2 linked regions of the Caenorhabditis elegans genome follow. The protein of the gene in region 1 purifies or fractionates together with the protein of each later gene. This does not show direct contact. Each region holds a gene or a part of one and is shown in the gene's direction. Other genes may lie near its edges. The genes, in order: pho-14 and ugt-44.

Evidence for each region.
Region 2: the proteins of pho-14 (region 1) and ugt-44 fractionate together in Caenorhabditis elegans (co-fractionation; one large-scale study listed by BioGRID). This does not show direct contact.

The regions. Positions count from the first base shown.
Region 1 is NC_003280.10:1,097,295-1,102,811, reverse strand, and holds pho-14 (Histidine acid phosphatase), read left to right. Parts: upstream 1-1,992; 5' UTR 1,993-1,999; coding exon 2,000-2,074; intron 2,075-2,130; coding exon 2,131-2,325; intron 2,326-2,660; coding exon 2,661-2,765; intron 2,766-2,807; coding exon 2,808-2,917; intron 2,918-2,974; coding exon 2,975-3,215; intron 3,216-3,367; coding exon 3,368-3,506; intron 3,507-3,556; coding exon 3,557-3,675; intron 3,676-3,949; coding exon 3,950-4,084; intron 4,085-4,134; coding exon 4,135-4,227; intron 4,228-4,735; coding exon 4,736-4,846; 3' UTR 4,847-4,885; downstream 4,886-5,517. Other genes in the region: T13B5.9 (Leishmanolysin-like peptidase), read left to right, coding at 1-147, 199-290, 906-1,071, 1,120-1,206, 1,299-1,367; snf-3 (Sodium- and chloride-dependent betaine transporter), read right to left, coding at 5,261-5,368.
Region 2 is NC_003282.8:10,467,825-10,472,450, forward strand, and holds ugt-44 (glucuronosyltransferase), read left to right. Parts: upstream 1-1,916; 5' UTR 1,917-1,983; coding exon 1,984-2,154; intron 2,155-2,240; coding exon 2,241-2,466; intron 2,467-2,519; coding exon 2,520-3,099; intron 3,100-3,299; coding exon 3,300-3,951; 3' UTR 3,952-4,075; downstream 4,076-4,626.

The DNA.
Region 1 (5,517 bases):
AATCAGAAAATCCCAAGTATTCGGCATTTTTTGGATTTTGATGAGCTTTCGTTGAAAGCTGCAAAAATTCATTTTAACTGTCAGAATATGGCTGGAGTCCAGGCGGATGGGGAGCTGAAAAATCACCTGAATGAGTACATTTTTGGGGTAAGGATTTTTATGAAATTTTCCAAGAACCAGCAGAAAAATGAAGTTTAGAACGAGCTTATGACTACACATTTGGAGCCACATGGAAATGTGTTCAGTTGGATTTCTGTCGGAATTATTGAGAGGACATTTAATGGTGAAAAGTGAGTGAATCTCAAGATTTGATGTAAAAATTCAGAATGCTCATGAAATTTTGAGTAGAAACCATTTTTTTGGAGAAAAATAAATTTTGGAGTTTTGGCTCGACTGGTAAGAGGTGTGACTTGTGATCAATAGGTCCGGGGTTCGACCCCTCGTAAGGGTCAACATTTTTTGTTTTACTTTTTAGTGTTAGGAATTGTTTTTTTTTGTTTTCGAACCGACGTAACAAGTAAGAAAAATTAACATTTTGATGATCCTCGAAAAAAAAATTTCAGTGAAATTGAACATTTGAGTTTTCTGATCCTAAACTGAATTCTAGCTACCTTTAAACGTAAAAATTTGAAATCCCCGTCAAATTCTGACCAGAAAGCAGTTTTTTTTTAGGATTTTTGAAAACTGGAGTTTTGGCTCAACTGGTAAGAGGGTTGACTTGTGGGCAATAGGTCCGGGGTTCGACCCCCGTAAGGGTCAACATTTTTTGTTTTCTTTGCTAAGTACTAAACAGTGATTGTTGTTCATTGAAATTAGTGAAAATTGAGAAAGTTGAAAATTTAAAAAAAAATTTGTTTTAAAAAAATTTGTTTTTTTCAGCTTTTTTTTGCTGAAATTTTTTTTAGGCAATGGTACCACATCAACGGTACTTTCATCTCCACTGAAGCCAATCAATATTCTTACGGAAAAAAATTCGGCTGTGAATTCCTCGAAAACTCCTGCGAAGACTTTCTGAAAATCGCTGAAAAACACAAGATCGGCTTGAAATTGGCCCCTTTCTGTCGGAAATCTGTAATTTTCATCCTATCTTTTGATTGAAAGTAGTACAAATAATTTCAGCTATGCTACAAACTGCCCGGAAATGCACAAATTTTCAAATTCACTGATAAAAACTGCGAAAATCGACGAGTCATCGGTGATAATCAGGTGGGTGGGCGGGAATTTGGGTAGAAGACACAATTTTTATCAGTGATTTTTTGAAATTTTAAGAAAAATTCCGTAAACATAAATATTTTCAGAAATGGTGTCCCATGGCGAAGAACCTCCCGTTAAACTATGAAATTTCGCCGTGTTTGCCTGTTGGATAACTTTTTTTTCCTAATAAATATTATACAATGGATTTCGTTCATTTATATTAAACTGAAAATAAAAATTTATTCTCAAAAATGTTTTTTTTTCCGGTTTTTTTTCAAAAGATAAATAAAAACTTGACTTTTTGGCGTGCTTAACAGTAATTCTATAAAAATTAGAAGGAAAAATTCGAAATCCCCACAAAATTCTGATTCCGGGGTACATCAAAATTGAAAAATTGAATTTTTGGCTCAACTGGTAGGAGGTGCATCTATGACGCACAGGTCCGGGGCTCGAACCCCGGTAGGGACAAAATTTTTTATTTTGTTTTATCAGTACTGAAAATTATTTTTTGAGATAGTATAAGTAAAGAAAATTTTGAGAAATATTGAGAAAAAATCACATTTTTTTCCAGATTTAAAAAAAAAGTTTTCAATCAATTTTTCCTACAAAAATTCATCACAAGCGTCTTCCTGAATCCATTTCTCTCTGGGTATCCCCTACTGACCTCACTCTCGCCCACTTTGTGTAATATTGAAAAAGCCGGTGCTCCGTTCTTCATTTCTTTCAATTTTTCAATCATTTTCCAGATTTTTAAATCAGATTTTTTTGACTTTTTGCTTCAAGTTAAATTCTTTTCAGCCGAAGTATGAGGATAATCTTGTTAATTTTTTTCTTAATTAGAGCTACTTTAACCCTGGAATATCTAGGACACGCGGACCCGGTAAGACTTTTTTGTTGGATTTTGAGGCCTAAAACTTTTGAAATCTAAATTTTTAGGAAGTTGTCCAAGCTGAGCAGGACATTCCAATACACAGACCTCGAGAGTATAAGAAGAGAAGACTGGAGGACGGGGATGAGCTTCTGCTCTCTCAAGTGGTCTGGCGGCACGGAGACCGAGCCCCAACCGGCACCTACCCGACGGATCCACATAAGGAAGAGGCTTGGCCAAATGGATGGGGAGAACTGACACAGGTAGGAATTTTCAGAAAATTTAATTGCAATTTTTGGGTTCCTCGTAAAATTTCCCTTTGGTAGTCATTTTTCCAGATTTTTTAAAGTTGCAGCTGTGGCTCAGCTGGTAAGAGGGATGGCTGAGAGCAGTAGGTCATGGGTTCGATTTCCCGTTCTGGTTAATAATTTTTGTTTGACCTAGTTACGGTATATATCACATAATACTGCCTGAAAAGCATGTTAGAATCAAATTTTAAAAATTAGTTTTGGCTCAACTGGTAGCAGAGATGGTTGGGAGAAATAGGCCAGGGGTTCGACCCCCAGCACGGTCAAAAAATTTTTAAATATTTTTTCAGCTCGGAATGCGCCAACAATACGCCCTGGGACGACTTTTATACAAGAAATATGTGAATTCGACGGGTCCCAGCAAACTTTTGAGCTCCTCTTACAACTCCAAAGAGGTTTGGCTGAAATTTTAGCTGATTTTGTATCTGAAATCGCAGGTCTACATCCGTTCTACTGACGTAAATCGCACGTTGGTTTCAGCTCTAGCAAATTTGGCTGGAATGTTTGAAAATGGAAATCGAGGAGCTGATTATCCGGACTCCAAGAGGTATTGGAAAAAATTCAAAAAAAAAAAATTTCGAAAAAAAATTCAAAAATATTCCAGATGGCCCACCAACTGGACCCCGATCCCAATTCACACTTTGGCTGAAAAAGATGATCCGGTTGGAAATGTGTTTGCTCCGTGTGCTCGGGCTGAGGAGCTCACTAGACAAATCTACGCAGGCTCCGGGTTCCAGAAGTTTGTCGCTGAAAATCAAGAGTTTTTGGATTTTGTCTCCGAGAAATCCGGGAAAAAAGTGATCATGCCCGAGATTTATATGGTCAACGATGTGCATTTTATTGAGGTTTGGGAGTTTTTTTTAATTAAAATTTTTGAAATCTACATGAAATTTCCGAAGTTTTAAGCCCCATATCGGCTAGGATAGCTTAATTTTGAAATTTTCAGTGGTGCGACGCGGTTGCGTCGCGGTTCCTTGTTTTAACTTCCAATTTTCAGAAGCTCTACAACATGTCCCAACCTGAATGGATCACTGATGACGTGGAAATCAAGCTCAGAAATTTGTCGCAAGTGTCCACGAGATTCCTCTTTGGAATTGGAGACCCCTACATCCCGGAGCTCATCAGACTGAGAGGAGGTACAGTTTCAAGCCATTTTTTGTCTGAAAATTTATAAAATATGTTGTAGGCCCTCTTTTGCGTGCGATGATGGACAAAATGAATCAAAAATTGAGCTGCTTGGCGAAAAATAATGAGGGAGAAGATTGCAGCTGGATTGGAAAACTTAAGTATCATGCTTATAGTGCTGTAAGTGTGGAACTCGAAAAATTCGGAAGAAAATATAAAAACCAATCGAAAAATCGATATTTGACAAAGAACAAAAATTGAAAAAAATTTTTGGTCTTGGGTGGGGACGAACTTTGGTGTTGTGATTGGAAAGCAAACCTGTTACCGGTTGAGCCAAAAAGCTTAATTATAATTAGGCTTTTGGCTCAACTGGTAACAGGGATGCCTTCCAATCACAACACCAAAGTTCGACCCCACCCGGAGCCAAATAATTTTTTCCCATTTTTTTTTGCAGCACGACACAACTGTCTACGCCTTCCTGACCACTTTTGGTGACGAGGAGCGAGTTATCGAAGGCGGTATGCCGCACTACACTGCCTCTGTTGCAGTGGAACTTTGGAATTTGAAAAATGGAGGACCAAGTGTCAGGGTACTGTAGTTTGACCTACTAAACAAAAAATTGGTTAAAAAGTGCTTCAGGTTCTGTTCCACAGCGCTTTCCATCACAACTACCACGTCATCACCCATCTGGCAAAGGGTTGTCCCCATAATTCAGAGTTCTGCCCGTTGAAAGTGAGTTTTTAGTGTGTTTTTGTAAAAAAAAAATCAGAATTCTACCAAAAATTTGGCTTTTGGTTAATTTCGCTCATTCCCCATCAAGTTGATTATTCCGTGGACCGCGACGCGACCGCGACGCACCGCGAAAACTCAAATTTGAAGTAACTAAACCAATATGGGTGTCAAAACTTTACAAAGTTCAATTTCTACTATTTCCCGACAATTTATATCTTGCATGACCGCGACGCGACCGCACCGCGCAGTGAAAAATCAAACTTGTCCTAACTATGTCAAGATGGGGGTCAAAATTCATCAAATTTCAAAAGAAACCCAGTTCTGTTAATACAATTTAATTTTCCTCATTCCGCGTCCATTTAGTTCTCAGATGACCGCGACGCGACCGCAACGCACGCTGAAAACTCGAACTTGGCGTAACCGGGTGAATATGGGTGTTAAAATTCCGGAACTTTGATGCCGATCTCGAGTTTTTCTATGAAAACATTAAAAACCGAATATTTTTCAGACTTTCGAGCAGCGCAGTCTTAAATTCCTACCAGTCAACCTGCAAAAGGAGTGTGCTCCGAAGAAGTCGGCGGAGAAAAATCGGACTTTGTGGAAGATCAGAGATAATTGATAAAGAAGCATAATTTGGTGAAATAAAGTATTTTTGAAAATTTCGAGAAAGATTATTCCAGATTTTCAGATTAAGAGTTTATTGATTGATTTTGAAGTTAAAAAATTATAACACTAAAATTCGTTGAGTGGAAATTGTGTAACAAAGTGAATTTCAATTGATAATCGGTTTTTTTGTTGAAAAATACGGGGGTCAGGGGGGTAACCAGCTGGAGAAGTAATAGAAAAAGCTCATATTGGAATGGAAAAATGAACGGGAAGAGGAGAAGATAAAGCTTGTCTGAAAATGGACAAAATTCAGGGAAAATATGAAGAAATAAACAGCAAAAGATCATTGAAGAATCTCAGTATTGCGGGGGGGTCGAAATGAAAAAAAATTCGAAAAAAATCAAAAAAAAAATCTGAAAATTTCAGTTTATTGAGAAGAGGATTCGATGAATTTCAGCTCCTCGGCGTTGTTCACCAGGTTCTTTTTGGCTGGGGATTCGAAGGAACCATCCAAGTTGAGCCCCTTGCGAACGCGCTGAAAAATATTCGTTTTGTCAAGTTTTTCCGAAAAAAATTGATCTACTAAAGTAACTTTGCAAAAAATTGAAATCAAGATAACATAAGCTTTCAGAAAAGTACTCACACGGCTAGGTTTGTGCGAGGAAGTCTAAGCCTAAGCCTAGA
Region 2 (4,626 bases), on another chromosome or scaffold:
AAAAAAAAATCATTCATGAAACAGTGGAAATTGTTTTTCAAATCCATGATGATAAAAAAAAAGACAATCACCAAGTGTATTGAATTACAGTGTTCTGAGTTTTGCTCAACAGGCTCAGCCAATCAATTTCAAAAAAAGAACTTAATGGGTCACGGAAGTTTTATCTAAAAAAAGTCGAGTTGTATGATTTTCTTGCAGTAAAAGGGCAAACAAAATGTACTGTAGTTTTCAAATTGCAAGTTCATTTCGAGACAAAAATCGACGAAAACTTGTTTTTGAAACTACTTGCAAAATAGAACTACCTGCAAGCGACGCCTGGCTCTTTCGTCCTTGAACCTACCTTTTCATGAAGCTGTCTCACTTTTGTTCGACGAGTATTCGATGTTTAATTTTTTTCAGCAATAGAAGGAAGTAAAATATACGGTGCAATAATATCATAAAAACATTCGTTTCGTTTACTTCTTCTTTCTTCTTCTTTCTTTCTTCTTTCTTACTTTCTTCTTCTTTACTTCTTCTTCTTTCTACTTTACTTTTTTCGATCGTTTACAAACCAAAAATGACACATATTTTGCAAAATCATGAACAACCGGTAAATATTCGATTTTGCATTTTTTGAACAGTTTTTAAAACAACTGTTGTTGAATTCTGACTTAAAGTGTCCGATGAAAATTTTAAGAATAAAAAGAAAATGAAAACACATCTACTTTTGGCTGGTACTCCGCGACGACCACATGTCCAATTATTCATATCTCAAAGATTTAGCGCATTCCTTCCTTACGTCCTTTTTTAATTAACTTTTAACTGATAAAATGAAAATTATTAAAATGTTTTACTGATTGCTTCCTTCATGTGGTTGTAAACAAAAATGTTTAAAATGTTCACGGATGTTTCTCGCCCACTTCTCTCGCCTACCAGAAGTAGGACATAATGGTTTTTTGGGGAACGTAAACCAAAGGAGCAAGTAATGAAAAGTGAATGAGTTTTAGACATAAAATGACCTCGCGTCACTTTTTCGCCTAATCGTAATTTGTGCTCATCGGAGGAGACCACAATACGAAAATGGACACTAGCGTAGGCGATGACGAAGATTGACATAATTTTATGGAACACAAAATGATAATAGTGCAGATGATTTTTTTTGAAAAAAAGTTGCATTTTAATCAGGGAAAATGAGAAATGAAATGTCAAGAATTATTTCAACTCTTCTTCTTAATGGGAAAATTAACATTTTCCGGGAGGAATTTTCTGAATATACATGTATACATAGTTTAGGTTAGAGCTTTGGAAGTTTGTCACTTTCCGCTAATGTAATTGTGTAAAAAGAAAGAATACATTTTCTAGAAAGAGCATAAAAAATTACCGTAATATGATTTATGGTTTTTGAGAATTTTTTTATTTTAGAAATGAACCAATCTAATTTTCGATAATGCTCCTTTTTCAAAATAAAAAATCATTGACGCAATCAGTTCTAATGGAACTTTCAAGGTACAGTACAGTGGTACAATAGATAAAAATCATAAATGGTTCGAGTTAGCTCACGTGAAATATTTGTGCAATTACAAATAAAAAGTACTCATGAAACTAAAAATCCGGGTTAAGTTTTTGCGTACAGCGAACCTCCAAATCAACTGCACTTTCTATTTCCCTTCCGGACAGAACCGGAATAACGAAATATGCACCTTCCTGATAAAAACTAATCTACATTCCCCATGACCGTCTAGTCTGGCTTCTCAACATTCTAGGCTCCAGGCTTCAAGGCTCCAGACCTCTTACCATATACCTAATGTAAGCTCCTCCCAAACCGGAGGGGTGTTCCGAAAAATACCCCGAAATCAATAGATATTTTATCAATGACGTTATCTGCGGTGACGTGCATCTCCTGAATCATCGAAGCTTCAGAGGCGTCCATATAAATTCACGTTGTCCGAACTGATAACCCAGCAGCACACACACAGCTAACATTCTGCTAACTAAACATACATAATGAGCACATTTTGGTATGCTCTGCTACTCATCATTGTCTACTATTCACAGACTATCAATGGTATTGAACGACCCAAAAAAGTATTGGTTTTTATGCCAATTAGTGGACATTCTCATCTTAAATTCATGGGAACAATTGCTAATATATTGCAAGATGAAGGATATAATGTGGTGAGTTGGGTTACTGTACTTTTTAAGGAATATTACAACATAAGAAATTCTTGTATGTACAATTTCTTAAATTTTCTTTTTTGTAGACCCTTCTGTTGCCGATTCTTGACGAAGGACTTCGGGATACCACTCCACTTGTTAGAAAAATAAAAAATCGAATTCTCGTCGAACAAAGTGAGGAACTCATTGAAGCAAATGCCCAGTTCAGAGCTGGAGGAGGCCGCGAAAATACGTGGGTTATGAACTCGGGAATCATTGGATTTTTGAAACTCGGAACCAAGGTAGCCAACATTTGCAAAGCTTCCTGTAAAAGTGAGTTTTATTTTTTAATATTCCTAAATGTAAATAAAACATGTTATTTTTAGATGTATTCCAAAATGAGGATCTCATCAACTACCTTCGCGATCAACGTTTTGATGTAGCTATCTCAGAGCCTCTGTACACTTGTGGATTTGCTCTTTTTGATCATCTTGGAATTGAAACAACAATCTCCACCGATTCCCATCTTGGTCTAGAAGTTTCAAAAATTGCACACGGAGCATCTATTTCTACTAGCTACCTGCCTGCTGTATTTTCAAGTGGATCTGAAAGAATGACATTAATCGGAAGAGCCAAAAATTATGTAGAATCTTACTTCAATTATTACTTTAACAGTAAAATCTACGAGAACGAATTGGCAGGAATTGAAGGAATCTACAAGAATGGAAAAGGATGGAGAGAATTGTCAAGAAAGAATGCATATATGTTTGTCAACAGTAATCCACAAATGGATATTCCAAGTCCCCGCACATCAAAGTTCATTGAAATTGGAGGAATCTCATCTGGGCCAGTCAAACAAGAACGTCTTCCTGAAGAGTACGATAGAGTTTTGTCACTTCGCAAAAAAAATGTTCTCATTTCATTTGGTACTAATGCAAAGTCAATGTTTATGTCAGATGACATGAAGTAAGTTTTTTTCATTCAAGAATTTTATCATCCCACTTTTAATTTAGAGACGAAACGGTAATTTTTGATAAGGTTTGAAATTGTAAGACAAAGACATGACTCCTATTAACTATTTTGGAAAGACGTAAAATCGTAAAATCATGATGTCAATAATGTTGAAATAGTTTTCAACTCCCTTCTAAATTTTCTATTTATTTCAGAGAATCACTCATCAAAACCTTCGAGAGTATGCCTGACACCACTTTTATCTGGAAATACGAGAACACAACTGTCGATATTGTGAAACAGTATAATAAACGAATCAATAATGTGATGCTTACTGATTGGATGCCACAAACTGCACTTCTAGCCGACCCAAGATTGACTCTTTTTGTTACTCATGGTGGATTGGGAAGTACAAATGAAGTTGCATTCAGTGGAAAACCATCGATAATGGTTCCAGTTTTTGGTGATCAAACGAGAAACGCAAGAATGTTGGAGAGACATGAAGTTGCATTGGTTCTCACGAAATACGATCTCACTAACTTTAAAAAAGTCAGAGGAACTATCAGAAAAATGCTGAACGATAAGAGCTATTCCATGAAAGCTGAGAAATTGGCGCAAATGTTGAGAAATCAGCCAGAGTCACCAAAGGAGATATTTATCAAATATTTCAACTTTGTTGCTAGATTTGGAAAACCACATGGACTTGATTCATATGCAGCTGAAATGAGCTTCATCGAGTTCTACTATATCGATTTTATGGCAATCCTTTCAATTTTCTCGGTTGCTTTGTACATGATCGTTTCGAAGGTTCTAAGAGCATCCCATAACTTGACTAATTTGGTTTCGATCAAGTTTAAGTTTGATTAATTTGTTCTAAAATTATGTGTGATCATTCAATCGTATACTACGTTTTTTGTAGTTTTTTGTAGTTTTTTGTTGTATTTTATATGGGTATTTGACACTGTCATAATAATAAACTAATTATAATTTATCGCATTTTAGTAGTTTCGCATTTGCATCCTTTACAGGAAAAAAAATAAATGCGAAGTTTTGGCATTTAAATTTTACATATTGTTATCAGCTATCAAGACAAATTGATTTATTTCTCAATTTTGTTTTTTTAATGCTTTGTAATTCAAAGGATGAAGCTTCCAGTGGACACTTTTAAAAGTATACGCACTGTTTTGCAAACTTTTTAATTTTTAGTTATTTCGATATTTTAATCTAAAATCTAAACTTCTTGCCTATTTAGCAGCTTCAACAACTTCTTATTCAAGTTTTGTTTAATCCCTGTTCAAACATCAAGTGTTGTATAAAATTATATGTGTGATCAAACTGAGACCACATTTTACACAAGCCTTTTTCAAAGTTGCTTAGATCTGTTGGCTCAACAAACAAAGGATTCCACCAATTCACTGTTGCCATCTGGAACCGCCTAACAAAGCTCATTCCAGAAAAAACTTAATTGTTCTGTGTTTGCTACCCGGTTAAATTCTTCCACCTTTACGTTCTCATTCCCCCAATCTGATCCCACAAACTATT